Linked DNA regions of Alligator mississippiensis. The protein of the gene in region 3 interacts with the protein of the main gene of each other region in a biochemical or structural test. Links are inferred from orthologs where the notes say so. Each region holds a gene or a part of one and is shown on either strand. Other genes may lie near its edges. The genes, in order: WAC, UBE2A, RNF40 and UBE2B.

Region 1 (7,711 bases), on a different chromosome or scaffold from region 3:
CAGAAACCAGGGCAATCTCTCCCTAGTTACATATCCTAACCACTACTTGCCTTACCTCTTGTGACCTCTCCATCCCCTACCTTACCCTTCTTTATGCTCAGAACAGCAGTTCCGAGATGGACAGTTTACCTGCTCCTGTGCTTAGTATTTTTTCTTGGCTAACTTGAGTTGGCCCCATTCAGCACACTAGTTCCTATGGATTACTTTGTCCCCATGTATTACATAATGAAACCCAGGCTTCCAAATCAGGGTTTGAATTCCACTCTGGAGGCCAGGTGATTTAAGTTAAGTATTGCTCTACATTACATGCATGACATACTTGTCATTCAGGTTGGGGAGTCAAAAGTTAACTGGGAGCAATGCTAATGACATTGCTGCCTCAAGTACTACTGGCTACAGAAATCAGTATGACTTTTAAAGACTCTAGCCAGATGGGTGATTAGACCACAGGGGACCTCAGACTCAGCTTTTTGATCCACACCATTTCCTACTCCAAATGAATGTCCTCACCTAGACAGTGCTGCATCTTCCTCCTATTTTAATCAGATTGAAACAATTTAAAAAAAGCTAATCACATCAGTTCACCTACAGTATCTTAAACAGTCAAGAAAATTCACATATACACAAGCTGTATACTGTATTAACAAGGTTTGCCACTCGACCAAAAGACTAATAACTTGGTCATACTTGATTAACGTAGCATATGACTTTAAAGTGCAGTAGCTATTCCTAAATAACTCCATGTGTGGACATTTCCATTCTGGTATAAAAGAGCCCACACTTGATCTGGAATGACTAGTCTAGACTCTCTCATATACTATACAGGCAAAAACATTCTCCACCAGCATAGATTAGATTAAAGGCCATATACTGTCCTCCATTTGTGATTTGACACCTCACTGTCACCTGTAGTTTTCTCAGTTAACAGAAGTGAGAAATCACTTTTTATTTAAAAGAAGCCCTAAAATCTCATTGTTTGGATACTAGAAAACCACTGTAATTTGCTTGTTTTTGTAAGCTAAATCACAACCTTTTTTAAAAAAAGCTGTCAGCTCAAGTACATTATTTTTGTCATTGTAGTACCCAGTTATACATAATAAACTCAAAATGTACACTAGTTTTGTTTAAATAATACAACAGAGACATGAATTACAGAGCCATTTGCTATTAAGACAACTATACTATAAATGGTGTCTCCAAGCAAGATGGAGAACACAAGAGATATAAAAACCACCATTTCACTTCTCTGTAACCAAAGCATTCATGATAAAAGGAATCTGTATTTAGATCATTTGAACTTTCATTCCAGAAAACTGATTTATTACCAGTGTGAAGTGGTGTGCATACACATGTAGCTTCAAGACCGAAATGCAAGTTGCACTGATCTAAAGGGAAAAAATAAATTTAGATGAGAAATGTCATTAACAATCATGACACAATGATTAGGTATTGATCAAAGCCAGATGTGGTCCAAATATTTTGCAGAAATTTGTAATGATAGTTCCACTTCCCTTAGAGCAGGGTGTCAAACGTGCAGCCTGCGAGCTGGGTCTGGGATTGGGAATCTGGCCTGCCTGGCTCCTAGAGGCTGGACATTTGTGGTCAGGCTCACTGCTGAAATGTGAGGCATGGAGCCCCACTGGAGATGTGTGTTCACAGGGGTGGAGTGGGGTATGAGTGTAGCCCCGGCTCCCTGATACTGCTGATCCTATTATTTTTAGATCCAGCCTGGGGAGCCAGATGAGCTTGACATCCCTGTATTAAAGTAAAAATAAGCAAAGAAGGAAGCAGGGATTTTGCCCTGATTAATACTGGGGTACTAGAATAGCAGCAGCATTCCTGATAATCTAATTTTAATCACTCCTGTATTACTCAAGGGAGACTGGTGGAAACGGAATATGTATATAGTGACAATTAGTTGAGTCACTGTAATCTCACCCACATTTTAAGCGTAGCATGGCACACACTAGAATAGAACTTTTACTTCATAAAACTGCAAAGACAAAATAGCCAGACGCAGTTTGCGCTGACATACATACCATTTACTTCTGCACCCAAGAGTTTCATAGTTTGTGTTATGCTGCCTGATGTGAGAGTTACCATTGCACTTCCTTAAATTTAAAGAATCAGTATAAAACAAAGGCTTTACTACTGCACAAAATCTTGGAACAAAGCAAAAGCTACAGTATGCTAACATATGAAGTGCTATAAAGAAGTTTTAATACACACTAGAAATAGAAAATAGGATCAAAATTGAGATTCTAGTCATGGTCTCTAACCTGCTTCCCTATTTCCAAGCTAGGTTTAACCACATCCAAAAGAAAGTTTCAGAGCTCAAGAACCATCTCTAATCTAATTTTCCACTTCTGAAGTGTATTTAATACTTCCTTTCCACGTTCTTCAGGTGTTCTTCACAACCCTATTGTAAGTATATAATTCGCTAGAATTACATAAAAGGTATCCAAAAGAAAGTTTCCAGGCATTTCAATCTTTTGCCCTCAGCTAAGATGACCCCCATAAACCAAAACTTCGACAATTTATGTAAAAAAATTTTCATGGAAGTGTGTTACATGAAAAACACTACAATGATACAGAACTACAATGATAAGGGCAGAAAAGCCTATAAATTTGTGCAAGGTGCAGCTGTGATCTCTAAAGATTTAGAAGTCTATTGCCAGCCAGATTACTAAACATACCTCCCTCTCCCTTTTCGTACACGTTTACAGTGGCCAGGCACAGTACAGGAACTTGATCAGCTAGAATTTTTAGGAAGTCAATATAGTCCCTGTTAAATTTAAGGTCTTTTAATACAATTGTTCCTGGCCTCTGTTTATTTTTGGAAGAGCTTTTGGATGGGCCTGACAGCCTGTAGACACAATAATAGAAGTTGTGTTATGTGCACACTTTAGAATAACACGCACCTTAAAAAAAGGAAGAAAAAAAAATCTATTTAAATAAAAAAGTCGGATAGATATCCATTTAGACAATAAACATAAAAAACAAACATTGTGCTACTACTGAGTTATGAAACTTATTCTGTGCTCCACTTCTTTTCCTCCCTCCCCACCCATTTGTTTTACACCTCTTTTTCCAGAGCAATTAAGGAAAACTGGATGGGATTCCCTGAAGCCATAAATATGGCTCTTGCCTTGGCTACAGGAGTGAAGAGAGACAAAAAATGCCCTCTCCTCTCAGATCTGGAAGCACTACTCAGACTGAAAGTCCATGGAAAGCAAGGAGGATTTCATATGGTAAACTAAAAAGAAAGCTTTTTTTTTTTTTAAATTATTATTACGTTGTCTGAAAACAGACATGGAAAGACATTTGTACCAAAACGTGACCTTCTTTTCCCACAGATCGATTTGCAAAACCTGTGTATATATCTTCATGTGTGTTGGTTATTAAACAGTTATGAATATTTGGTAGCAAAATACTGACTTTATTTTATGTGCGTTACACACTGCTTTAGTGCATTAAACTAAAGGTAAAACAGACAAGAGACCCCAGTCAAGCCCTTCCCCACTTCTGCTACCCCCAGGGTCTGTGGCTAACCTCATTCCTCACCCAAGAGGGAATTTAGCTCAGTTGGAGGCTGCACGCACACTGGCCCGTTTCAGGTGACATTGCTTTCCAGCACTGCCGTTTTGCTCAAGGCCCCTGCCTCCTGCTTCAGGACACTCAGCAGCGCTCGAAAGCTGTCCAAGATCTTCACGTAAGCAGCGTCGGTTTCAGCAAGGATTTTGTCCAGTTCGTCGCGGGCCTCGGCCTTGCGGGCCAGGCTGCCCGACACGCGCTCCAGCCGCTCGCCCAGCGCCCGCACGTCCCGCCGCAGCCGCTCCCGCTCCTCCTCGTCCCGCCGGATCTGGCGGGCCAGCTCGTCCCGCCGCAGGCACAGGTCCTCCAGGCACCGCACCACCTCGTTGTTGCAGCCCTGCAGGACGGCTGCCTGCTGCGCCATGCTCCGGGCCCGCTCCGCAGGAGAGAGGGGAGACAAGAGGAAGGAGACACTGCGGCGGGGCTCCCCAAGGACATCTTAGCCGCCCGCCGCCGCCTCCAGCTTCCTCCCGCGGGAGGCAGCCACACAAAATGGCTCCCGCCCCGGCCCCGCCATGCCCCCGGGACAGCAGCCCGCACTCACTGGCTCGGCCCGCGGCGGAGCCGGGCGCGTCGTCCGCTCAGGTCCGGTCCAGACCCCCGCCCGGCGGCAACCGCAACCGCAACCGCGCCGCGCACTCCGGCGTCGGGAGGGTGACGGAAACAGCCGAGGCTTCCCGAAAGCAGGTCCGGAAACAGCCGAAGTGTCCCGAAAGCCGGAACCGCCCTCCAGGGCGGAAAGAGCCGATGCGGCCCGAGCCAGGCCGGCCGCGGCCGATGTTTGCCGAAGGCAGAGTGGGCCGAGAGCAAAGGGGAGCGCGGGGCCGGGGGGCGGAGCGCGGCGGAAAGAGCCGGAAAGAGCCGAGGCGGGCCGAGCGCGGCGGCGCCCGAGTTGCCCGGATGTAGTTGGAGGAGCGGCGGCGGCGGGCGCAGCGGGGGGAGGCGGCAGCGGCGCGTCCGTGCTCGCCAGTGTCTCCGTGCGCGCGGCGCCCGGCTCGTCCCCCGTCCCGCGTGGCGGCGATGGGCCCGTGAGCGCCGCTCGCAGCCGAGCCCGAGCCCCCGCTCCCGCCCCGGCCCCGGCCCCGGCCCCGGCCGCTGGCGAGGCGGAGCGCTGCCTCCCCCTCCCCCCTCGGCGCCCGTGGCCCGGCCGCGGCCGCCCCCCCCGGCCGCCCTCACCCGCACGCACACGGGCCGGGCATTGATGGTAATGTATGCGAGGAAACAGCAGAGACTCAGTGATGGGTAAATGGCTCCGTCCCCGGCCCGCGCCCCCCGCCCCTCCGCCATGTTTGCGCCCCTCCCCCGGCCGGTAACGGCCCCGCTAACGCCTCTCTCTCTCTCTCCCCCTCTCTCCGCAGCTGTCACGACCGCAGGGGGGACTCGCAGCCCTACCAGGTACTGCAGCGCCGGCCGCCGGGCCCCGCAGGCCGCGGGCGCGGGGGGGGGCGCTACTCCAGCGCAGGCTTCGGCCGTCGCCGCAGGCCGCGTTGCACCCGCCGCCTCGGCCCTGCCCGCCCGGCCGCCCCGGGCCCGCTGCGCCGCGGGGGAGGGGGGTTGCGGTGGGGAAAGGGCGGCCCGGCGGGCCCGGCGAGGGGCAGGGGCGGGCGCGGCCTAGCAGGGCCCGGGCGGCCTTGGGCCTCCGAGCCGGGCGGGGCGGGGCGGGGCCGGGCGGGAGAGCCGCTGGGGTCTCTTGGAGCCAAAACAAATGGGAAAGCGGCTTCTCTGCCAGCAATGGAGCAACTTGGGAGCTGGGGCACTTGGCTTCATACCCGGGGAGGAGCTGCCTTCGAGGGCCCTGGAGAAGCACCCCCTCTCCCCCTTCCCGTGGGTAGGGAGGCAGCCCCTGGGCGCCTGCACTGTGGGGCTCCTCCAAGGGTGCTGGTTGCTCACGGCTCTGGGTATTTGATTAGCTGGGAAATGAAATCTGACAGTTGAAGGCAGCTGGAAGGGGCAGTTCCCGTGCACACAAACACTCCCCTGGCAGCGAAGTGCCTTGCCAAAGCAAGTAGGTGGAAGAGGGGCTGGACAGGAGCACTTCCAGCAGGTCAATATTTCCAAGTGGGCGCAGGCCAGCGAAAGCACTGCCTGTCCCACCACTGCGCTTCCTTCCGCCTGTTAAGTTGGTTTTATGGCTTCAGGAGATTCTTGCCCTTAAAAGTTCATTGGGGTGCTGGATTAGGGTAAAAGGTGCTGGATTAGGGTAAAAGTTTTCAAATCAAGCTTGCAGTGCGTGTGTGTGCGTGTGTACACTGGGTTTGTGCAGAAGTTACATATGATAAATAATATATATTGCATTACTTGATAATGAAGTAGGTGAGGAAAGAAGCTGGGTGTTTGCTAAACGTATCTGGGTCACAAAATGAAGAAGTTTGAGGAATGGCTACTTTGCTTTTAGAGGATATTAAAAATAATGTTCACATATGATATCAAAATGGGCAGAGGTGTCGCAAGACCTAAATCCGCCTCATAACATTACTTTGTATGGCTAACTACAACTAGAAAGCCAAAGGCTGAGTGTCCTGCTGAAATTGGTTTTCAGCAGGAGCTCTAATCACATTTATAATCTTGAGTCATACTAGATTGAAATTAAATGTGTTCTGTATTTAGAATACATGTTTTGGTGGGAAGTGGTAGTAACTGCTACAAAAATGAAACCCAGTTTTAAAGCGCATTCTCATCTCTTGCAGACTCTTAAATATTCATCAAAGAGTCACCCCAGTGGTGGTGATCACCGTCATGACAAGATGCGAGACACCACAGATCCTTCACCACCAAACAAAATGTTGCGGCGATCTGATAGCCCTGAAAACAAATATGGTGACAACACAGGGCACAGTAAAGCAAAAAGTGTGCATGCTCACAGAGTTAGAGAGAGGGATGGTGGTGAGTTGCTTTTAATTGACTTATTTAAGCAGCATTAATCTGATGTAAACTACGTAACAACAGCTACTACTGGGCAAATAGAACTTCACCTTGAATGACATGTCTAGACATGGTGGTCAACTAATTGATCCCTGAGCGATTAGTTTCACTGAACATAATTGTGTAGAACATCATGAAGTGAAGTATTTTGTGCCTCCAACAAGTAGTACATTTCGAGAAGGCCACAGGAGAATACATATATGCAATTTTAGTATGGTGATTCAAATTAATTTCTGCGATTCAAATTTCTAAAGACACTTGTAATATTAGCATGTGATAACATTCCATTTTAGATTTCTTCATCATAGAGATTTTTACTTGTTGCTTCAAAGGCTGAAAACTGTGATTGTTCTGTGGCTTATTAAATAACAGTAGTCTGCTTGCTTATTATGATGATTAATTGTTCAGTTAAGTGCTTAACAGGCTGAACGAAATAGATAATTTAAAATGCAGAGAAGCTTCAGAACTTTTAGTTGCTGTAAGGAAGACTAGTGAGTAGGGGATAGTATGCAAAGGTATTCCTGATTTGATTCCTACTTTGGGGGGAACTCATAAAGTGTTCCTGCTTTAATTCTCTAAATATTTTAATAGACTTCTATTCTATTGCCTGCCTTCCATTTTTGCTACCTCCAGTATCTTGCTTTACTTATCTAATGAGCAAAATTGTAAACATTTTACTGTTTACTATTGTGGGGGAGGTGGGGGGAGAGTTTACCTCAGACACCAGTCAAACTTAAGCCAGTTCTTGGGTTTTCAGTGCTGCTTTTCATTCTTTATTGAGTTACCATGAAAAGTCTTCAGGAAGAGGAACCAAAGAGATCTCTAAAACAACGTATCATCCATGCTATAGGTAAAGTTGACAAATAAGTGATGTAAGGACACTCATTTTATTACTTTTGTTGTGAATGCTTGTTACAATAGTTAACATTAAGGTGAAATGCCAAGTATCTTTTAAGATATCTTGAAGGGAACTCCTGGTCTCCACTGCAAGCATACTTATAGTATATGAGTACTTGTATGCTCCATATTTATTTTCTTTGCTTGAATCTACAAATGGAACTGTTTTATGCATGTTTGATATGCATGCATAAGAAACTGCAAGTTCGTAAGAAAATTTTTGCAGGATAACTTAAAAATATTGATCCTCTATTGTTTTTCTAAGCGTGAGATTACATTTAGATACTTCCAAATTCAG
Region 2 (7,079 bases), on a different chromosome or scaffold from region 3:
TTCTGATAGCATATATTAAATTAAATTCTGTAAAGTATTCCAGAAGGAGGCAATTTTAAAGGTTTAACTTGGTATACATTTATTTGTAGAATAATTTATTATGCATCCATTGCCATGGCTCCTGTACACAATATATACCTTAAATTATCTGCTAATATGGCTGTCGTTGACTGGTTGTGGAACTAATTTAACTTCACTGAGACAGAAGGTAAAAGTCCATTCTTTGGATGTCCTATAAGATGCTAAAAGTGATTTCCAAGAAACCAGAGCTCATTTCTATTTTATTTTACTTTTTGTACACTGTGTCTGCTGCAACAGCTATTTATGGATGACTGTAATTTATACTTATACGAAACTTGGAAACATTCAGATAATGTAATCAGACTCTATTTTGAAGTTCAAGAGAACATAAGACATAGATTTTATGTCAACAAGAGTCATCAAAGGCTAACTTAAGACCTCATGTCACTAAATGCACGTTCATTAAATGAGTGTAGATGGACTTATTCGAGATCTGAATTTGGCACAAAGAACTAAATTTTATCCAAATGGAGCCAAAATAATTTCCCTCCACAGTCAATAATAAATAAGTCCAATTAACTTAATGTAAGGCTTTCAGGGAGGAGTAGAAGTGTAGGAGTCGGCAGCCCTCCCTGAAAAATAGAGTGGGATTATGGCCCAGTGGTCTGGCAAGCGCCATTCAGCCAGGAGGAGTGAGTGAAATTACTCCTTGCTTACAAATCCTTATCTTTACAGTTATTAGCTATGATAATAAACACCCCCAAGTCGCTAGTAACTCTAGGGAGCTACGAGGCTGTGCTGGGCAGATTGCTCATTGTTTTTCAGTGAAGTAAGAGCCAAATGCTTAATTACAGGTATCTAAATTAAATAGTTATAGTTTTCAGTCACTTTCATCTGCAGTGCAGAAATGAGGCCCATTAAACCTATATGCCCTAGCATACCCTGTGCCGCTTTGAAGCAAACCCAGGCCATTCAGATCACAGTTGAACACAGACGACTCAGACTTGTAATTTCCTAGGACTGAATCCTTGTAATGAAGATAAGGAAGGCTATACACCATATACTAGAGATGATGCTCTTTTTCATCCCTCATTTATAGTCTGATGTGGGTGTAACGAGAAGATGTACCACGCTCCTTCCTCCCCCCAAGCAGGTAAGAAACTCACAGCTCTAACATAAGATTACAAAAGCTACTCTTGCCACTACAAGAAAGTCCAGTTTACAACCAGATGAAAAAAAAAGCATCCACATACATTTAAAATTTCATGCTCAGATAGTCATTTCAGAAGCCCTGGCACCCAAGTAGTTGTATAGAAGTCAGCCTGGCAATCCTAAAAGCATGAAAGGACTCACTTCCCATAAGCAAGACCACCCATCTCCATTAAACTGTTAAAAAGTCTGATACCTACAGAATAAAACCTTGTTCTGTCTCCATAAATATAAACTCCTCCGCCTTCCTGACACAAGCAGGGGTAATGTCCCTGTAGCAGAAGGGGTCAAACATAGGGGTCAGAAAGTCCCATTCCAGCTGGAATCACGTAATGCAGCAACAGGGGTGGAGCGTCGGGATCAGACGTCCCACAACAGTTGGACTTGGACAGACGGACTCCAACCGTCAGCAGAAAGCTCGGCTCTTGACATTCTGCCCCAAAGATGGATCTGATTAGCTGGAAGGATATTAGACAATAAATGGGCCAAGAGGAAGTTCTAAGGTTCCTGTTTCTACATGGGAACAGCAGCATGGGTTATGCTGTTCTCCTGGCAAGAAGCAGTAGACCCTCTTCTCTGATGGCTGGCATGAGGTCCTTCCCAACTGGATGTGATTCTAGGGGAAAGATAATGCCATTGACAAGGAATGCCTGTATCTCTTGTGTAGAGATCACCAGGTTCAGTAAACACAGACATACATGAATGAAAAGAACTAAAACAAGTTTCATTATGGAGCTGCATGCAAGCTTCTGCAGATCCTTTGGCTCTAACGAGAAAGTTTAATTGAGAGATCATCTCTCAATTCCCAGCTTCTGTAGGCTAAGTAAGGGCTTGACTCTTAAGTTTGAAGTTCTGTCACAACATAGAGGGAGAAAGGTCTCTGATGTGGAGGGAAGAGTATCTCCCTAAAGGAAACATGAAGAGCAAAAGGGTGAAATGACAGGCAAGTCAAGGGATCAAAGAGAAACATGGTTTTTCCAGACACAAGCCATGCAGATAAAAAAAAATCCTCAAAGGGAGGCGAGAATTTGTCATTATTGTCAGAACTCATATAGAAAGCAATTTTTCTGTGGTGAAAATAATTAATGGGATACAGGTTTCAAAGAAACACCAGCCCAGGCAACACCTCAGCTTGCAGCATCTTCCCAGTGACATCACCAGTATCAGCCTACAATTCAGTAGACTAAATATGACAAGGTCTTTTAATCTTCTCTCATAAAATAGGTTCACCAGTCCCTGCCATTCTAGTAATCCTTCTCTGTTCCTGCTCCAGTCTGAATTCATCTTTCTTCAGCAAGCATGATCAGAATTTTACATCATGTTCTAGATGATGTCTCACTGGTGCCTTGTTCAGCAGCTTTAATACTTTCCTTTATATCTACTGCACCAAGTCATACATTCTAAGACATCATTTGTCTTTTTCACAGCCATATCACATTGGTTGCTGACATCCCCCAATCTAATTTTGCCTGAATATGCCAGCATATGATATTCTGATCCTTTTCTGTATTGAGAATGTTTCACCACCTTGTAACATTAACAAACATAATTAGCAAACTGCTGATATTTGTACCAAAGTGATTACTCCTACCTACTGTATGGGTAAAGAGAATGCCCTGTTGGGTAAACTGATTTTGGGGTTTACAAAAAGAAAATGGAGCCTAGTGTGAAAGGCAAATAATTAATTTCACTGGAAAAAACTATTTAGCACGAGTCCCACTCGGAACATAACCTAGGAGATCCTGCCTCTTACACATCAGGACACACCCTCACCAGATGCACGCAGAGGAAACAAAAGACTGTGAAGATTCACATCTGCACAATCACTGTTTCTGCATCTCTGATCTAGCAAGATCTGGACATTATTCAAGTAACGCGTGTCTCGGGTTTCCAGCAGAGGACGCAGGGGAGGCAGACATCCCAGTGCCCCACCCGTCCCGGTAGGAGGCCACCTCACCCTGATGGACAGTGAGGCTTTCCCCAGCCTCCTACTGCCATAAACACATCCTCCATCAGATCGATAGCTGAGCAGGCAGCCTCTTTGTTCCTAATTGTCAGGTCATGTTCCCCCTGCAGCTGTATTCCAGTTGATAAATTGGGGAGGGTTCAGCAGAACGATTAAAACACTGGAAAACCTTGCAAAGAACCCAAGAGCTTGTCGGAGGGCTCAGGGGTGCCTTGATCCCAGTTTACAACTGCCAAGGCCTGCCTAAAACTTTGATCGTGGGCTTTTTGATGGAGCAGACAAGGACAAAGCGGATCCAACGGCTGGAGGCTAAAGCTCGGCAATTTTGGGCTAGAAACAAGGGGTGTTGGTGAGGGTGGCTGTGGGTCACCGTGGCAAAGGGAGGCGGTGGTGCTCCCTCCCAGGCAGTTTTTAGCCCCCCCTTTAATTTTTCTAAGACATGTGCAAGGCTCCCGGCTGGAAGCAGAAACTCCTGGGGTGCGTGGAGCACCTTGGGGGACAGGTCAGGGATAACAAAGTGGCTTCATTCCCGTGACTCATGGGGTGAGGCTGCCCTCCACCTTCGCTCCCGCCTTAAACACACTGAGATCCCTTGTCCTGCCCTCACCTGAGGCAGCAGGTGCAAGGCCACGCCCCCAGCCACGCCCAGGGCGGGAACAATGGCAAGAACACGCCCTCTCCGCTGACGTCAGTGGTGCCGTCTCACTTCCTGCTGCCCCTCCTCCGCCGCGGTACTTGGTACATCCCGGATTCCTTTAGACACCGCCTCCCGCTTCTCCACCGCGGTGGTAGGGTCCGGCAGGGTTCACTCGCGTGCGGTTCCTCCTCCCCGCGGCAGTGGTACAGCCCGGGATCGCCCGGGAGGAGTGAGCCGCCGTCTCGGCCTCCCCCCCGCGAGCCGGCGCAGTGGTACGACCCGGTATCGCTCGGCAGCCCCCGCCGCCGCCGCCTTAGTCGGAGCCAGCTGCCGCCGCCGTCGTCCTAGTGTCCCTGAGCGCCCGCTCCTTCGCTCCCGGGGCTAGTGTATGAGCGATTCGTCACCCTGAGCCCGCCATGTCCACGCCGGCCCGGAGGCGCCTCATGCGGGACTTCAAGAGGTAACGAGGCCGGCGGCGGAGGGAGGCCGGGAGAGGAGGGGGCCGGCCAACATGGCGGCAGGAGCAGCGGCCCTGCGCCGCTTGCGTAGCGTTAGGCCACGCCGCTTGCGCAGGGAGGGGGGCCGGGGTTACGCTGACTGCTGGGGGTGACTCCCGGGGGCTACGCCAGCTGCGGCCCGCCCGGGGGGCGGAGCTTGGCCACGCTGACACGCCCGTGCCCGCAGGCTGCAGGAGGACCCCCCGGCCGGCGTGAGCGGCGCCCCCTCCGAGAACAACATCATGGTGTGGAACGCCGTCATCTTCGGGTGAGTGCGCATGCGCGGGCTGGCGCCCCCTGCGGGCGGGGCGGGCGGAGGGGCACCCCTGCGCTGCGCTCACCCTTCCTCTGTGCTCACCCCTTCCCCCTTCTCTTCCAGGCCCGAGGGGACTCCCTTTGAGGATGGTAAGTGCCGCTAAGCTACTGGGGTTTGGTTTGGTTTGGTTTTTGGAGGGTTGGTTTTTTTTGTTCTTTTTCCCAGTGTGACCTGCTTCTGGGTCCCTGCAACAGGTGTCAGCTTAGGACCTCCGCAGCCCCGGGAAGCACAACCACTGCCCACCTCCCTGCCAAAACTTCTGTCCTTAAAACTGCTCTGTGGTGCTACGTCCCTGACCGCTGCAAACCTTCCTTCCTTATTCCCCTCCCTCCTCCCAAGTCTGACTTCCTAAATGTGGAACTAAGGGTTCCTTACCTTAGTCTAGTTGTAGCTACTTTCAGTTTTTAAAACTGAAAGTACCTACGCTCCTTCTAAAAAAAAAAAAACAAAAAAAAACTTCCCGTGATACATTTGTCCCTAACTTTGTCATTGTTTGTAGCTTTGCTCACTATTTTCTCTGAAGTTTGCACTTCTGATGCTGTATGAAGGATCCAGTATCTATCCTGAACTTGCTAGACCTAAGCAAAGAAACAATTAGAAATAGTTATTCTGTAAAGGTGTCAGTATAGGACTACAATTAGTGTTGAGTCTTATGCTTTCATCATGAATTGCATGGTAAGACTCCCTAGCTCTAAAACTGTTTCTTCCTCTGAGGGAGCAACTGTTTGGCTTGAGGGCTCTGCCTTCCTGAGCTCATGCTTTCCCTTTTAAAGTACCTCAGACCCAAGAACACTCTAATTAGTTGCTTTTTTTTTGTCCTTAGTTAGCCACAAAACTACACGACTACCTCCAGCTCTCCTGCTTAGTGGCTGGTCTCTTCTCTTTTTTTTTCCTGCAGTGCCTGGTGCTTGTGGCTCTTTCCTTTGTTTGTGGGATTGTTTGAGGTCAGAAGTTCTCTTTGGTTTCTTGGGCCTTAATATACTAGTATAAACAGGTCTGGGTGATGAGACGGGTCTTGTCTTTACGGTGCACAGCCATCCCAGAAATGGATCACAGCTTGGAGGAAGAGAAACTGGCTCCTGTGAATTAATGGTATCGATCTTGAGAGTTGTTATTTTTTTTGTGTCTCATTTTGTAGTTCAGTGTTGGGGTTACTGAGATGTTTAGTAACAAAGGATTTTGACAAGAAGATCTACCACCTTCAATATATCTGTGGAAGATCAGCTTTGAAAGTGCTGGTATATTTAATGCTATCTAGGGCTTTTAAGTATTGATTTCTCTTCCCTGCCCTCCCCTCATGCCTTGATCTTAAATCCCTAAGGTTCTAGGCATTCAAACCATAATCAGCTTGAATCCAAGGCTACGTGCACTCCTGGTAGCTGGAGTATATTTCCTGTGTGCTTTAGCAGTAGGTTATTCCTCTTGTCTGTTGGGTTGTTCCTCGGCTAACATTCTTGGGCAGGTGTTCTGGCGCAGGTTGTGTACTGGGTTTCTTAATACCCAAGGCAGGAAAAATGAGCAGGGCATAAAATTGCTTGTTTGTTTGTTGGGGTTTTTTTTTTTTTTTTTTTGTTTTTTTTTTTTTGTTTTTTGTTACAGCACAGCTTTTTTTTATCTTGCTGCCTAGAATTGTATGTGTTGGCATCTGGAGATGTGTGCCCCACTTGAATAGTTTGCTGGTGCCTTTTACCTTGTGCTCTGTGCCACACTCTAAAGTTAGAGGGCTAGAAACGTAGCTCAGGAGGCTCCTGCCAGTCCTGTTGTGTCTGGTCCCCTGCATTTGTAGATTCTCCTTAAGTAAAGGAATTTCCCAAATTGCTCCCTTCACTTGGTTGCCTACAAGCAAAGGAACAAAATTTTTGAGATGCCAAAAGCAGCCTGTGAAATGCTATGGATGAAAGCATTGTCAGTGTCCTCATTACCCTTGCAATAATAGGAAGTAAGCTTATGTATGTGCCCAGAAGATCCTAGGTAAAGGACCATGCCCCATGCTAAAAGAAGATGACCCGCCCCCCCCGGCTGTGCCAGTCAAACTAGGGGGACCTCTTTTCTGTAGGTCAAAAATTAGGCACTTGGTGGGTATGTCTACACATGTCTTAATGCACAGTAGCCTTTTTTTACTGTGCATGAAAGTGTCATGTAAAAAAACCCACCACGCTAATCGCTAATGTGCAGTAAAATAGGCTACTATGCATTAAGTGTCTTTAAAGTGTGCACTTGCAGTACTGCATATTAGGGCAGCCTAATGTACACTTCACTACCTCACATTGGAGGTACTACATTTAATGGACATTAGGAAGAATGCATTCATGCATGTGTATCTGTACCTGGTATGATTTTATCTTTCTGGAGCCACTGTTTCTGCAACAGTATTGGCCTGGTAAGGGTACAGTAATTTGAGATCACCTGAGGTCTTAGATAGATTTGAATAAT
Region 3 (7,667 bases):
CAGATAGGGGACCGTACTTTGTGGGAGAAACTACGAAAGCCCTGACACAGGCTTTAGGGATACAACAGAAGCGGCGTGTGTCCTACCGTCCTCCGGCCAGGTGGAGACAACGAGCCGAAGCGTTGAGGAAGGTTGTGTGTGCCAGCGGTAAGAAATGGACTGAGAAGTCGCCCCTTCTTTTGGCAGCCGTTAGATCAGCCACCCGACTGAGACCACGTTTAACGCCATATCACATTATATTTGACCGTCCGATGGAGCTCCGGATCAACCCGCTGCAGCTCCGACCAGATGAAATTCAAGAAACAGGTGTAATCTCGTGGATTAAATAGCTGCAAGAAGACAAGGCAGTGTATAAGCACAAACCAGAAGAAGCCCTGTTGAAAACCTGAGCTAAGATGCAAGGAAAGCACGAGGTTGCCCCCCAGCTATGGCAAGTAGGGGACCAGGTAATGTACCTGAAATACAGGAAACCCCGCCATAACCTACACACCAGATGAGAAAGTCCATGTTGCACTGTTAACCTAGCTGGCCCGATGGTGTGCCAGATTGACACGGGGCCCGAGGGTATGTATATGGGTACACCGTGCTCAATTAAACAATATGGGATAAAACCTCCCCGGATGCGGGTTTGTCTTCTTATCTTTCAGGTTTTAGACGCCGAAGACATCGCTCTGCAGAGGCTCGGTGAGAGGTTCACATTAAATAAGTAAGCCAGCATTAATCCTACTGTGCGATCGCAACTGTTGCGTGTGGTTTGTGTGTTTTGTCTATGGTAGTGGCTGTTGGCAAGCTTAGAAGGATAGGGAAAGAGTAGAGAGACTTGTGTTGTTGCTTATATTGTAGAGAAACATGAAGATCCAGGAGGGGTTTATTTTCTGGATTGGACTTGCAATGGCGGAGGCGTGCATGGGATACGAGTATTGACCTCAATATCAAATTGAGCCTGGGTCGATACAGGACACATAGGGCATGACATCCATTGTATAAGGTTCAGCATATCATGAAGTGTGCAAATGTGGTGCATGTGACTACCGAAGAAGCAGCAGGTGGCATGAAGACAACAGAAGGCCGTGGTTGCTTTTGTAACCGAAGATAAGACTGTTTTGAAGGCCGACTCTTTCAGCTGGCCGCACAATATCCTCGATAAAGAGGAACCGGCTTCAAACCAGCTCCAACTGGTGAGATGAGAGGGCGCTTGTGATGTGCTGACCAAGCACCGCATGCCGGAAGAAGCATCTAGAAATCTTGCCCAGCAACATAAAGTGTAGAAAAGGGGGCAAAAGAGAGGATGATGCAGGAACGTGCCTCAGCACCAGCGCCCGCGCCAGGTCAGATGCCCTGCTCCATCAACGGATAGGGACCGGCCATCCCTATCTCCAGTGCCCTCGGGGTCGTGTGTGTGTGTCACCTGCGAGAATGTATGTGAGTGTGCGTGCGTGCGTGTGTGGTAGGGTAACACAACTCCTAATAAGCTAATGGTCTCTAATAAGTGTAAAACTCCCCAGCACCCTTAGCAATAAAGTACCCCGCTGAAAAGGGACTAACGTTTTCTCATTAGTCCCAGTGCTGGGTTACAAGGGCACGGGGCAGAGGGCCCAGGCTGTGAGAGGGGGCAGGGGGCATGCTCCGAGGGATGAAATGAGGGACCCTCATGCAAAAGACGGCCACTCGGTTCCTGGAGCAAAGGGGGCGTCGTTGGCCAGGATGATCCAGACAGGTGTTGAAAGCTGGATTCATGATGTAAATGATGACAACGACGACGACATGCTTAACTTTCTTCCTTCCCCCTTTCATGCTTTTCTTAACTTGACTCCTTTGACAGCTCCTTGCCTGTGGATCATCTCTCTGCAGTCGGCTTATTGTCCATATTTCATCCTGTCAGCACAGCCCTTTGTTCCACATCCCCATTATGAGCACACCTCTTAATTTGGCCTTTTTTCCGTTGTCTTACTTTAACCATTGTTCATTGGTCTCCTTTATCACCTTTCATTAACAGATCCAATCATTCCATCCCTCTGATTCAGCCGATTAGCGCCAAGTTCAGTTAAGTTGAGCTAGTAACAAACCTATTGCTACGTTGTGTCAGAAAACCTTCTCGCAGTGATAGACAAAGGAAAGCAACATCACGCGAGCAACCTCAAGACCATGAGCTGCTTGCAAGACACAAGGCCTGGCATTGCTGCTCTAACATTGAACATTTGCTGTTCAGGATGGACGGCAACTGGAGCATGTGCCGCTGTATGCATCTTCAGGATGGTCGAGGTTACAGATCCCACCAGACCGCCCTTCATTGGATGGGTTTAGAAAGGATCTGCGCTTATTAGTAACGCGATATGGGCGTGATCCATGACAGCTCCACTCTTCTTCTTTGTGCTACGATTAGCGTTCGCTCTCGTCTAGTCTTTATGCAGATGGGACCTGCAGTAAACGCATTTGGGAGAACTACTACGTTTACTAGGAAAATATCTGATAGCCCACGTCTCCGTGCTGCTCATGGGTGTCTCTATCCTGAGCTGTCCCTCAGGTGATTTTTGCAGAAGGCGGTGACACGCGGTCTCTCAACTGTATTAGGAGGAGGGAAAGCCAGCGTAGGTGTGCTGAAGGCTAGGGATACCGAACCCTTGGCTGGTAAATTGTCCCGAGTGACCCATCACTTGCAAGACATCAGAGCTCCTCTTCCCTCCTCTCCGTCCAAAATCAGCATTCAGGATTGGTCGAGCGCAAAGTTACTCCCCAAGTGGAGAGGCTTCAACGAGCCGAAACATCGATTAATGGGACGTGCTTGAGGTAAAATGCACATTAACATGCTTTAATGCACATTAGCCTACTTTAATGTGCATTAACACATCACTTCAAAACCGTGCTCAATAAAGGTGTTACCAAGTGCTGAAGCTGCTCAGGTCAGTCTGGTGGCCAGCCAGGCTGAGCCGAGTGATGGAGTCAGGTCTTGTTGGATGTGCCTAAAACGCCTTCTTGCAGGTGGAAGAGATCCAAAGCTTTGTCTTTGTGTTCATTCTTTATAGTGCTCGCAGTCCATACCAGCCTGTGGATTCGGCTGAGTCAGACACAAAGGTCATCCTCCTTGTCCTGTTGGCAGGCTGGGATTGTTAGGACATGATCTAATGGCTTTGTGGTCTGCAATCTTCAGGGGGGTCGTTGCTTGCAGTCTTCAGCCATCAAGGCTTTTTGCCTATTGCTTTTAATCGTATGTATTTTCTTGAGTTTTGCATTGCCTTAAGAAACTCCATTTTGTATTGCTCTGTAGCTGGACATAAGTGTTCGACCTGTGTATGCTGGCTCAGAGTGTGTCTGTGGAAAAGGAAAACATCAGCTGGCGACTAGCTGAAGAAGGCAGAGAGATGAAAGACCAAGCAAGAAGAATCTGCCCCCAAACAGCGAGAGCACAACGGCAATCAGTCTTCAAGGAAGAACACAGCGATAACACAGCAAGAGCCCAGAGGACTGGGTGAATTGACAAGGCTATAAAAGATGGGGCGAGACGTATTGATTCTGGGCCTTGTTCTGCACGTCATCCTGGAGCATCGGTTCATCTGACGAGATGGACCGGCAGGAGCCCGGTTTCCACTCGGGATCAACTTGGCTGGCCACTAAGTTGATCCGAGCACCGATAAGACCAGTAACGTATACCACTGCAGAACAGAAATTGGGTTAGTGTGTGTGTGTGTGTGTGTGTATTAAGCGCTCAATCAATAAACTCGGCATCTTGCCTTATCTCGTCTCGTGATTTGAGCAATTGGCAATTTGTGTAACACGCCTGCCTCCCCACCCCTCCAGAAGGGGATTAAGGTGCACTGGGGCGCTAGGCAAGCACAAAATTGGAGGCCTCCTCCCCCATGGGAGCTGGGCTTTAAGGTCCTGGTGGCAGGGCAGGCTGGGTGGACCCTGCTGGGCTGGGGGGGCACATACCCACCTCTTCTCCCTGCTCCCCACCTGCGCTATGGCCCAATGTGCGCACACAGGCGTGTGCACCCTCTCTGTACATGGACATGCACACACACACATACACACGGGCACACAGAAACAGACAGGCACACATACACATGACCCACTGACAGACAGGCACAGAGAGGCACACGCTCACACACGCCCACGCTCCCCTCCCACCCCGGCAGTCTCTCCCCGCACCCCCACTGGGGAAAGGACCTCCAGGGGAGGGAATGTGAAACCCCCAGCTTGAAACTTGTCCCCAAAGATGGGAGGCAGTTGAAGGATCCGAGGCCACTGGGTGGGAAGCAGACAGGCAGGGGCGTTATGCGCACGCGCCAAACCAGCGCAGGCCCCCGGGAAGCAGCGGGCGTTATGCGCAGGCGCCGAGTCCGCCGTCCTCCGAAGCGAAGCATGGGGCGTTGTGCGCATGCGTCAAGCCGGCGGTGCTCCCGAGGGAAGCAAGGGGCGTTGTGCGCATGCGCCACGCTAGAGGCGCTCCCGAGGGAGTGCGACGCCGTGGTCACACACAGTAACGGTGTCGTTTCGGTTGAAATAAAAAAGAGCGAAAAGTGGACGTGTTTGCTCACCCGGCGGGAGTCCCCCCCCACAACTCCACCAGCGAGGGGAGGAGCATCCGGCCCCTCCTCCACGCCCTCTGACCCCGCGCCCGCGTCGCGCTTCCGTCGCGTCACGCCCGGCCCTGCCCGCAGTGCGCAGGCGCGTCCCCGCCGGGGCTGCGCCGTCCCCCCGCCCCTTGCAGCCCCTCGGGCAGCGCCATGTCGGGGGCCGGGGGCAAGCGCGCGGCGGGGGACGGGCCCGCCGGGCCCCCCGACAAGAAGGCGGCCCGGGAGGAGAAGACCACCACCACCCTCATCGAGCCCATCCGCCTGGGCGGTGTCTCCTCCACCGTGAGTGCGGCGGGGGACCCTCCCCCCCCCCCCCCGTGCTGCGGGTGGCGAGTGGGGGGGCTTCCGGGTGGCTTGAAAAGAAACCCTTGTGCTGGGCGGGTGCGTGTGCGGGTAGCCGTGCTGCTCGCCACTTGTGGGGACGTGCAGATTTGGGGGGGGGTATTTCCTAACTGGAGAATTGAGAGTTTTGTATCCGTCCGGCTCGCGCGCTTACCCTCCCCCCCCCATCTCACCCCCGCCTCGCTCGCCCTTCCCTGCGTGGCCCCCTCCGACAAGCCCCGTCCATCCGATCTACCCGCGCACCCGCGAATCTCATCCGTCTGTTCTTCCACCCATCCGCTGATGTGTCCATCCATCTCGTCCATTTACCCTTTCCGTCATTTTATCGATTCCCCCGCCCCCGCTCTTGTCCGTCCATCCGTTGTCTCCAGGGGTGGGCAGTTACCTGGGCTGTGGGGCCACTTGAGCAGCTTTGCCGTGACAGCCCCTGTTTCCTGTGCGGCTGCCGAAGGGGTGCCCTTGCCCCGCTTACCCACCTCTGGCCGCTGCTGCCATTTCATTTGATTACAGGGTGCGATGCATATCAGGAGAGGGGGAGGGGGGAAACTGCCTCTTTCTGCGGCAAATGCCTTGCACTGACTTAGTGGGGCTGGTTGCGGCCGTGTGGGTCTAAGGACACGGGCAGACAAGTTTCTTTGGGTAGACGTGATACCTCTTATTAGACCAACTCAGAGAGTTGGGAAAGTTGTTCTTTGCAAGCTTTCAGGCGCAAACACCCTTCTTCAGGGACAGGGAGACTCTGATGACTTACCTACTTACCTGTTACGATTCAGGGTTGGTGTTCATCGGGAACTGGGGAGAACCAGGCCTGCGGCACTCGCATGTCTCTCCCGGTCACTTCTGTGTGGGCACCAATCTCTTGGTCCTAGGGGAGGGATGGACAGTGATTTGGCCCATGGGCCACATAGGGCGTGTCGTGGGCCAGGTCAGCACCCCGTGCAACAGTTCACCAAAACTGCTGAAGTGGCTCTGCTCCGTGCTCAGCTGGGATAGAGCTGCGTCGGGGGGGGTGGCATTCGGGAGCAGCATGGGCGGGCAGGGCCGAGGCTAGGATCCCGGGGCAGCGATGGTGTGGGACCAGGGCAGAGCCATGATTCGCTGCCTGCATGTCCCTGAGGCGGCACCTGTTGCTCTAGATTTTCTGCTTGGCAGCACTTCTGCAGCTTGTTCCAGGCCCCTTGGAAATGGCCACGGCTGTCAACATGGGACAGTTCAGGGGTCTGTGGGAGAGACTTAGGGGGATGGGAGTAACTGTGGAGGGGGGGCAGGTTGAAGGTCTGGGGGTAACTATTGGGGAGCAGTTGAGTGGGCTGCGGGTAATGGGCAACTGCAGGGATGCCGGTGGGGGGCGTAGCTTAGGGGTCTGGGGAGCAGCTTAGGGCTTGGGAGTGACTGCAGGGGTTTTGCCGGGCAGCTCACAGGGCTGGGGGTAACGGGTGGGGGGCTGGCAGAGCAGCTAGAGAGCAGTATGGGGCTGGGGGCAGCTTGGCAGGCAAGGGGCCCACAGTAACCCCTCCCTTTGTGTCACTGCAGGAAGAGATGGACCTGAAGGTGCTGCAGTTCAAGAACAAGAAGCTGGCGGAGCGGTTGGAGCAGCGGCAGGCCTGTGAAGATGATCTGCGTGAGCGCATTGAGAAGCTGGAGAAACGCCAGGCTACTGACGACGCCACCCTGCTCATCGTGCATCGCTACTGGGGCCAGGTACCCCCCCTCCCCCTCCCCCCAGGATCGTTGTCTTGGGGTTGTGGCGGGCTGTATCTGGGCCCAGACGCCTGGGTTCTGTTACGCCCCCACGGTGCTAAAGGGTAGCCAAAGCATAATCAACTCGGAGTTTAATATGGAATACATCTCTCATAATTCAGCTTAACTAAAATCTAACCTTATTAACACAGAGAGAGACAGAAACATTTAGTCTCGCCCAATCCCAGATGTTACTCTGCTTCACAGAAAAGGTGGCCAGTCAGTTCATCTGTGGGTAATGGCTGTTTTTCAGTCCAGGTGTTGGACAATGACATACACCCAACTTCCTTGTTTCCACCCTTTTATGCTTTTTCTTTTGCCAACTCTGCATTTCTGGGTACTGTTGATTGGTGTCTTTGTGATCATCATACTGGTCGTGTCTTATATCCTATCAATGTGTTCCTTTGCTCTAACCACACCATCACACGCTCACATTTTCATTTGGTCTTTTACTGGTGGCTTAATTTGGGCATGCCCAGGACTCCTTATTTGGTCTGGCCCTTAGAACCAGAAATTCCAAGGGCTCTGCAATTGGGCAGTGACCAGCTGGTCCCCTCTTATAGCCAGGGATACTGGTTTTCCCTGATTTAAAAAAAAATAAATAAAAAAAAAAAATCTCAAATTCTCTGATTAAAAAAAATTGCGGTTCTCTGATTAAAAAACCCGGCCAATGGTCTGATTATAAACCGTCCCATTCTCTGATAAAAATCGTCTATTCTCTGATTAAAAACCCACCTATTCTAAAAGAAGAGCCTCTGTCCATAATGCTCTGGGTCAACTGCACATGTGCTGCCAAGAAGTTGCACACTGCTAGGCTTCAAGGGCCTGGAGCATTCTGGGCAGAGGGAGCTGCCGCACTGCCTTCCCCCCAGCAACAGCTGGCAGGGAGTGGTGGTGGTGGGGAAGAGGGGAGCAGGAAGGAAAAGGGGGGGGGGGGTTTCCAGTGGCAGTGCTGCCCCCCATCACTGCCCCCACCTCTGCTGTAGCCCCCTGGTGGCAACTGAGTGCAAA
Region 4 (7,681 bases), on a different chromosome or scaffold from region 3:
ACCGCCGAGGGGCCCGGCCCGCTGACCTGCGCACCGCGGCTGTCCATGGCGCCGCCACTAGGCCCCGTTACCACAGCAACAGGCAGCCAAGCCAACCGCCGCGGCCTCATCCCGTTCCACCCGGAAGTGGAGCGGAAGGGGCGGGGCCTCCCTGAAGCGTCCCGGTGACTGCGCATGTGCGGAAGGGAGCAGGGAAGTGGCGGCGCCTGCAGTGCCTTGGCGTCCAGCACGAGCCCTCGTGCGCATGCGCGCGGGTAGGGCCTCAGGCTTCGTCGGCCTGCGTGTGGCAGATGGTGCTGGTGGGGCAGGAGCGTGGTGAAAACCTGCTTCAGCCGGGAGGCCGCTGAGCTCAGGGGGCAACTGAAGAGAAAACAGGGACGAGGGGGCAGGGCACAGGTTTAGATGAATTGCTCCAAGTGAGGGGGACCCTGAGCGGAGCACACCAGGCAGGGCCTGCCGGCCCCAGACAAGGCCGAGGAGCCAGTGGGCGCTGCCCGGTGAAACTGCCTGGAGGGTGAACAGGCCAAGGACAGGAAAACAGCCCTGTAGTCCCTGGGGGTGGGGGTGTTACTCCTGGCCAGAGGCTCCTTCCCAGCCAGGAGGAGGGGAGGCCCCAGGGCCACGTGGGGCCATGTACCAGGAGTGCACAAACAGCAAGGTGTGGGATGGGAGTAGGGCATCAGGAGGTTGAGGAGGAGGCAGGCAATGAAGGGGCTGCGGCCTGGCACAGTCCAGGAGGGCGTACGCCAGGGTCTCCCTCTGCTCTCAGAAGGGGCGGGTGTCGGGGGTGTCCATGAACTCAGCAGATGCATTGTGACAGCTCTGTGGAGGAGCCGCTAGCTGTGGGACCCAGGATATGTGAGCAAGGTGGACCCATGGAGTGACTGTAAACAGCATTTTTTAATGTCCTTATAAATACTTGCAGGCTGGTATATTTCCTGGTTAATATTTATCTTGGCAAGGGGGCGAGCAAATAGCAGATGTCAAGGAAGTACCTGTAATACTGAATTATTGGATGCTTTTGTTTCCCCTTTGATCTTCATTAAAAGACTGCATGACTGTAGGATTGGTTCTGCCCTTCTAGGGAGGAGCTGCCTGTCTCCATCACAATTTGTACCTAGCAGAATGCAGCTCCAGACTCATTCTGGGGCCTCCAGGGGCAATGCAAATAAATAATGCAAATCCATTTCTCACAATTCCTTTGATTACTGTATATGTTGCTATCATTATTTTATTAAGATTATTATTTTATTCAGCAATATATTTTATTGCTTGGGTTTGGACACGTTAATGCAAGTAACGAAGCTCTGCAGGGGCACTGCAGAACTGAAGCCTTCACGTCTTTTGTTAATTAAGGTTTGCGGGATTTATAATATTTAGCGCACACGCAAGCAGCCCAGCTTCACTGCTATTTCCTAAGTTCCTTGAGGCTTATTAAGGGGTAATTGTCTGTTATGTACGCATGCAAGATAATTTTCTGTCTTACTGGTTTTCTAACTATAAACTATTTTAGATTAGCAGAAGGAATGACGCTGTCCAAAATTTGCCAGTTTTTATTTCATTTCAGCTGCCATCATAGGTGGCAGAAGGCTGGGGCTAATGGGGCATAGCCATAGACCATTACGTTATTCTTCAGACTTCTTGAATGAAAAAAATCAATTATCTTGTAGGGATGACACTGTAAGAAAAAAAAGTCATTAGAAAAGTTTTTCAAACTGGAATAGAGGTGGTTAGCCAGGTGAGTCAGAAGTCAGACAGAAGGCAGGGCAGGGTGGCACCTTAAAGACTAACTGGTTCAGAGAAAAATGAGCTTTCATAGACAAAAACCTACTTTGTCAGATGCTATGAAGTATGTGAAATGCATCCGATGTCATATCTTTGTCAGCTGCTGTAATGCATTATTTCATGATGAATCGAAAATAATTATTCCCATAGTGAAAGCAGGGGGTAACTATAGTGATAACATCATTTGCCAGTAAACAAACAATCACCAGCAGACATAAAACAATTACCTCCTACAGTGAGATCTTGGGTAATCTTCCTAGCAAGAGAATGACACGAGAAACCACAAACCACAGAGAGGGCTGGCCTCTCTTTTAGTGCTGAAGTTGTGACTGAACTTCAAACTTAACCATGAATTCTTTTAATTGGATGTAAAAAAAAATAAATTTCATATAATCCAGTTTAAGAATGCTACATCAGACTTCCTGAAATAAAGTTTACAGACCCTTGTTTTTATTTTCCCAATATACTAAATTAATTGAAATGTTTCTTTAACCCCTGAATAAGATTGAAAAAAAAAATCTTTTGAGTAAAAATGCATGCGACAGATCCATTCTTTTGGACAAATTACTGTATAACCTTGACATGAACAAGTTTGTATGGAAGGGTAACGCTGCCCTCTGCTGTATGCAACCAAAATGGCTCAGCTATGTGTCATATCATAAGCTACACAAAAATCTAGATCTCTTGGTTCCAAAATGATACCTTTTATTAAACCAACGGAAAGGATTTTTTTTTTTTGTGTCATTTCTAAGTTGATCTAATAAAAGGTATCATTTTGGAACCAAGAGTTTTAGGTTTTTGTATTTCTTTTTGTCTCAGATCAACACAGCTACCAAATACACCTCGTATCATAATCTATACACTGCTCCTGCTTTGAAGGTTTCTGTAGAAGGGTAGTCTGTCCTTTTAAGGATCAGTTGTTTGAGGCTGAGCTTTTTTTTAAGAATACGTATTTGCCCCTGTAGAGGGAATTATCAGGTTCAGCTGGGAAAAATGCCTGATTCCCTAGTCTACAGGGGCGGGCAATTATTTTGGGCGGAGGGCCGCTTACTGAGTTTTGGCAATCCATCAAGGGCCACGTGACAGGCAGCCAGGGCCAGATAAACATTCATTTTCTAAATTTTTTAGGGGCCCCACAGGCCAGATAGAATGGCCTGGTGGGCTGCCTTCAGCCCACCCGTGCTGTAGAAATAAAAGCTTAGTTGGGAAAGAAGATATACAGTTGGTTGTAGGAAGGTGAAATGTTCCTGGGGTAGTGACTAAGGAAGTCTTAATGGGGTGGGCCTTTGGCAAGGAAGACCCTTGGTTAGGTGCAAAGCAGTGGTTGGATTAGAATGATTTGGGTGTTTTGTGTGTGGCTTCCCTTTTCCCTTCTTTAAAAAAAGACTGTCTATCCAATGAATTGCAAAAGAAGGGTGTGAACAGATTCTGGGTATGTTGTTAGATTAATGGCAGATAGGTTCCTTAAAGAGCAGAGAACTGTACTTCTGGAGTGAGAGCTCTTAAATTGTGCAGCAGCAGCAGCAGCAGGAGAACAGCTCCGACGTGTAACATTAATGCAGTCAAGTCACAATACAGTTAAACTAACTAAGTACTTAGCAGGGCCAGACTTGTACATGGCTTTCGAGAACACAGCCCTTTTCCTGAAGAATTCAGAGCTTGCACTTAATACAAACAGCTTGGAGAGGAGGGAAACAGACAGCAAAGGAATGTGAAGTGCGCGCGCGGTGGGAGAAGGGTGTTCTGAAAGCTTGTACGGCAACGAGCGTTGGCTCCTATTAGTGTGAGGAATAGTTCTCCAGGATTGAAAGTGGGCTTGATTTCACTTACATGGGTCTGTGTTTTCTTACTCCGATTTTTGAAAAACTTGTTTTGTATCAGGGCCGATTCTGCGATCCCTTATGTCAGTGCCTAAATCAAGGGGTTAGTGGTTTCAGGGCTGTAGGATAATGGGTCTAAGTGCGTGTACTTGGCATGCTTTAGCAGGTGTAGAAAAGCTTGCAGGACAGAGATCTTCAGTTGCTTTGTGTTCATATAGTACAATGCCAGCCCTACTTACTTATGGAAGCAAGTAAAAGAATAAAATAACCTCCCCCCCTCCCCCCTACATAATACTTAACAATAGGGAGCTAAATTGCTTCCTGAAACAACAGAAACTGGTGCAGGGGGAATTCTCTCTCATGGTAGATGCATTAGAGCAGAATCACTTACAGGCTTGTACCAAGCTCAGCCTAGCATTAATTAGCTTAGCGTCGCTCATCCGGGAAACCCCCACCAGCCGCTATTGCACGCCCCACAAACACTGCTGCAGGAGTTACACGAATGAAGGGCCCGATGCATCTCTGCAAGGACATAAGCAAGGATGCGGGGCGGGGAAGCCATCAGGCAGGGAGCTGCCAACTTCTGCAACTTTGAATCTTGAGGTGAGGGGGTGTCTAAAACCCCGAGCCTGGATGCGTGAGATTTTTCAGGTCTTGATTTAAAAAAAAAAAAAAAAGACCTGAAAAAGGCTCCTTACAATTGGCAATAAAAATGGAAAGGGCATGCAGTCTTCTGCTCACAACTTAGTGCGAGCACACGCTCATTCTCCGCCCCGCGGCTGCGACCCTGGAGGTTTCTGCCGGTTGTCATCGCGGCCGGGTTTGCACCGCGCGTGCGGACCCCCCGGCGCAGCCGGCTGGGAGGAAGGAACCAAACACGGCGCAGCCCAAGCGACACGCACGGGGGTGTTCTCCTCTGCCCCCCTCCGCGGCCAGGCCCAATGGTGCATCCCGAGCGCGCTCCCAGAACCTCCCCCGCCCGCTGCCCGGTGTCTGTGGCGGCAGTAGTACATTCCGCTACCCCCCGGCTCCCGCGGCAGTGGTACATTTCGCCCCGCCCCCCGCGCGGAGGGAGACGCCATTGCGGGCTTGTTTGCGCGGCGGCGGCGGCGGCGGGTTACGGCGGAGCTCGCGGGACGGGCCGGCGGCGGGCGGGCGGAGGAACATGTCCACCCCGGCCAGGCGGCGCCTCATGAGAGACTTCAAGAGGTGGGTGTCCGTGAAGGGCTCTGGCCCTGGGGTTGCTGCAAGGGGGCGCCGGGCCCTGCTTCCCCCGCGGGGGTCGGCCCCGGGCTGTGCGGGCCGCTTGGCACGGGGATGGGGATGCTGCTGCCTCGGGTGGGGGTTGGGCTGGATCCAGCCTTTCAGGACAAGACCCAGCACCCCTCGCTCCTGCCCCCGGGGTGTGGGGCCGCCGCGAGGGAAAAGCCCGCGCTTCCCCCCCTTTTCCAAGTCGGTTTGCCACCCTTCCCGATACCCTCGCACCCCCCTTTTTGGGGCTTGACCCACAGGTTGAGAAAGGAGGTTGTTCATAGACATTGGGGGCCGGACGGGACCTCGTGAGATTGAGTCCAGCCCCGGGGATCACACTTTTTATTTACTTATTTATTTATTTAGCAAAAATCTCGTTGGTTTAATAAAAGAGATCCTCTCTGCTACGAGTCCTTGATTGCCTTTTCCTCCAGACCAACACAGCTGCCACCTGGATGCTTAGCCAGATAAACACTCAAATGCCTTTTAAATGGTCCCTCCCAACCCGGCTTCTCCAGGACTCGCTTCTCCCAGAGGAGTCGGGCTGGGAGAAGTCGGATCCCGTCCGGCCCCCGCAGGGTTGTGCCTGTCCAAACTGTCCTGCACGTGGTCGAGGTACACGGCAGCGATGGTAAATGTAGTAGTAACGGCGGCGACTGCCGTGCTTCTGGACTTGGAAACTTTGGACACAACGCGGTGTGTTTTGCGTGCAGGCGGATCCCCGTCATAGAGCACCTTATTTTTGTGTTGCAGTGAGCGTGGGGGTCATTGATAGTCTCTTTTTTTGTAATGGGAATGCCTTGAATTATCCCACTTGACGTAAATATATAGGTATGGTGTGGAAGGTCTTTGTTACGCCGTCCACGTTGTGTGGTTTTTGTCAGCTCTGTGTGAGTTGAAGGCACTGAGACATTCACACAGATGTACAGAAGTTGAGGGCTGGAAGGGACTTCGTGAGAGCATCGGGTCCAGCCCCCTTGCTCTGGACAGGAAAGACAACTGGGGTCAAATAACCCCAGCAAAGTGTGTCCCTTACTCAGGCAAAACTCTTGTTCTCTTTAAAAGGAGTTGGCCTAAATTATTGGAGGCAAAACTCTTGTTCTCTTTAAAAGGAGTTGGCCTAAATTATTGGAGGCAAAACTCTTGTTCTCTTTAAAAGGAGTTGGCCTAAATCACTGGAGATGACTTGGTTTCAGTAGTGCCACTTTATTAGTGGTCACTGTATTTTATTGCAGTATCTGCAAATGTGTAAGTAAACAGTTGACATGGGCTATATATGTATACATAATATATAGCAATGTTAAAAGTTTGATATGCAACTAAAATGTTAGGAATTGAGTTGAGGTTTAGAAGTTAGTTACCTGTCAGCAGTCTTCCCAGGTATTGTATAATGCAAACATAACATCGTGTAGTTCCTTTTAAAGCAAAAAAGGACATCTAAATCCTGTTCCTAATGGTGGGTCACAATGAATATAAAAAAACCTGACTACTTATGGCACTAATGGATAAGAATTGCTTTTGGAGACACTGATTCTGTTGTTAACATCGGAGGTGGATAAGTAAGTAAATAAATACTCTAAATAGATGCACTGAAGCACAGAATGAGTGTGCATTTATCTAACCTAACCATCTTGTACCTCCAGGCTGAGCTCATGTTTCTTTTAAAATGTCAGTCTCTTAACATTAGGGGGAAAGGAAATGCGTTTAGTTTGTTACTAACAATTACTTCAGTCTAAAAGTAACAGCATTCAGGTTGCATGTTTTGCTGTGAACTCTGCTGTGTTTATTGTGGTTGTGTGGTGGTGATGAGAGAAGAACTTGACAGATTATTGGAAGGCTGACCGTTCTTTAGTTCCTTTGAATAAAATTAGAAAAATACTAATTACAGCTCTTAGAAAAGGAATACGGATGCTATAAATACCACATTATCGCTAGCTCTTAAATATCTCTAGGCTCTGTTCAGGCAAGTTAAGCTTCCAGTTCAGGCCATAAATTCTCTGTAGTTAAAGATGTTCCCACAGCATAGTATGGGGGGAGCTTTGTCCTGATTTAAGAACCAAAGCTATCTCAGAACAGCACTTAAGTTTGCTGCTTAGGCTTTGATACTGGCAGGCAATCTGGTTTTTCCGGTAGGAAGAAACTGTTCCCCAAAGTGGTGGGTATGATCTGTTGATATTGAACTGTGTAAATTGTGAAAGGTCAGAAAACAAGGATGCTTAAATACAGGTTGGGAAGGACGCTGTGAATCTCGGGCAGAGAACTCCCTGCTGCTAGTTTGCCTTAGCGGCAATATTGGTGCTTGATGGTCAGCGTCCTTGCTAATATGTCATTCTAAAACATGATCCCTCTTGTGGACCTGAAGTGGTGGTGAGGGAACCAATTGGGGATTTATCCTGACTTCTGATGTACAACAGAATATCAAATCAAAATCTGTTTCTTGGCCTATCCCCTTAGTGCTTGGGTTTCCTTAAATACAATACATTTCTTAGTGCTATGGTGAAGCAAGTTTGGCTGTTTGGTTTGTTTTGGAAGTGCTTCAGATTTCAGGTTGTATGCAAGTATGTTGGAGAAGGCATAGTACCAACAGGGTAGTACAACATCTGTATTAATCCAGGGATTTATACAGTCCTAGGGCAAAGGTCTTGGTCTCTAAACTCCCACTTCATATACAATACTTCTTTGGTACCATGTTTTCCACTAGGAAATTGATGCATTCTTACTAATCCAGAACGTACGTGGGTGTGTGTGTGTCTAAATAAGTTAAGATGCTTCTATGACTCCTTTAAAGCACAGTGTTTTCAGGCTAAGAAGGAATGAAGAAAACA

What was found.
Region 1: the proteins of RNF40 (region 3) and WAC form a complex in vitro, tested with the Homo sapiens proteins (2 studies listed by BioGRID). The link is inferred for Alligator mississippiensis from reciprocal best matches to the Homo sapiens genes RNF40 and WAC.
Region 2: the proteins of RNF40 (region 3) and UBE2A form a complex in vitro, tested with the Homo sapiens proteins (3 studies listed by BioGRID). The link is inferred for Alligator mississippiensis from reciprocal best matches to the Homo sapiens genes RNF40 and UBE2A.
Region 4: the proteins of RNF40 (region 3) and UBE2B form a complex in vitro, tested with the Homo sapiens proteins (3 studies listed by BioGRID). The link is inferred for Alligator mississippiensis from reciprocal best matches to the Homo sapiens genes RNF40 and UBE2B.

What each region holds. Positions count from the first base shown.
Region 1 is NC_081828.1:190,515,327-190,523,037, forward strand, and holds the start of WAC (WW domain-containing adapter protein with coiled-coil), read left to right. Parts: upstream 1-4,695; 5' UTR 4,696-4,795; coding exon 4,796-4,836; intron 4,837-4,952; coding exon 4,953-4,989; exon of another isoform or gene 4,990-5,217; intron 5,218-6,281; coding exon 6,282-6,477; intron 6,478-7,297; coding exon 7,298-7,366; intron 7,367-7,711. Other genes in the region: microtubule nucleation factor SSNA1-like, read right to left, coding at 3,614-3,958.
Region 2 is NC_081831.1:72,656,634-72,663,712, reverse strand, and holds the start of UBE2A (ubiquitin-conjugating enzyme E2 A), read left to right. Parts: upstream 1-4,079; 5' UTR 4,080-4,249; coding exon 4,250-4,293; intron 4,294-4,517; coding exon 4,518-4,598; intron 4,599-4,709; coding exon 4,710-4,735; intron 4,736-7,079. UniProt on the Homo sapiens protein: E2 ubiquitin-conjugating enzyme that accepts ubiquitin from the ubiquitin-activating enzyme E1 and transfers it to a E3 ubiquitin-protein ligase. In vitro catalyzes 'Lys-11', as well as 'Lys-48'-linked polyubiquitination.
Region 3 is NC_081830.1:1,180,733-1,188,399, reverse strand, and holds the start of RNF40 (E3 ubiquitin-protein ligase BRE1B), read left to right. Parts: upstream 1-4,655; 5' UTR 4,656-4,724; coding exon 4,725-4,856; intron 4,857-6,449; coding exon 6,450-6,617; intron 6,618-7,667.
Region 4 is NC_081832.1:70,120,055-70,127,735, forward strand, and holds the start of UBE2B (ubiquitin-conjugating enzyme E2 B), read left to right. Parts: upstream 1-4,676; 5' UTR 4,677-4,770; coding exon 4,771-4,814; intron 4,815-7,681. UniProt on the Homo sapiens protein: E2 ubiquitin-conjugating enzyme that accepts ubiquitin from the ubiquitin-activating enzyme E1 and transfers it to a E3 ubiquitin-protein ligase. In vitro catalyzes 'Lys-11'-, as well as 'Lys-48'- and 'Lys-63'-linked polyubiquitination.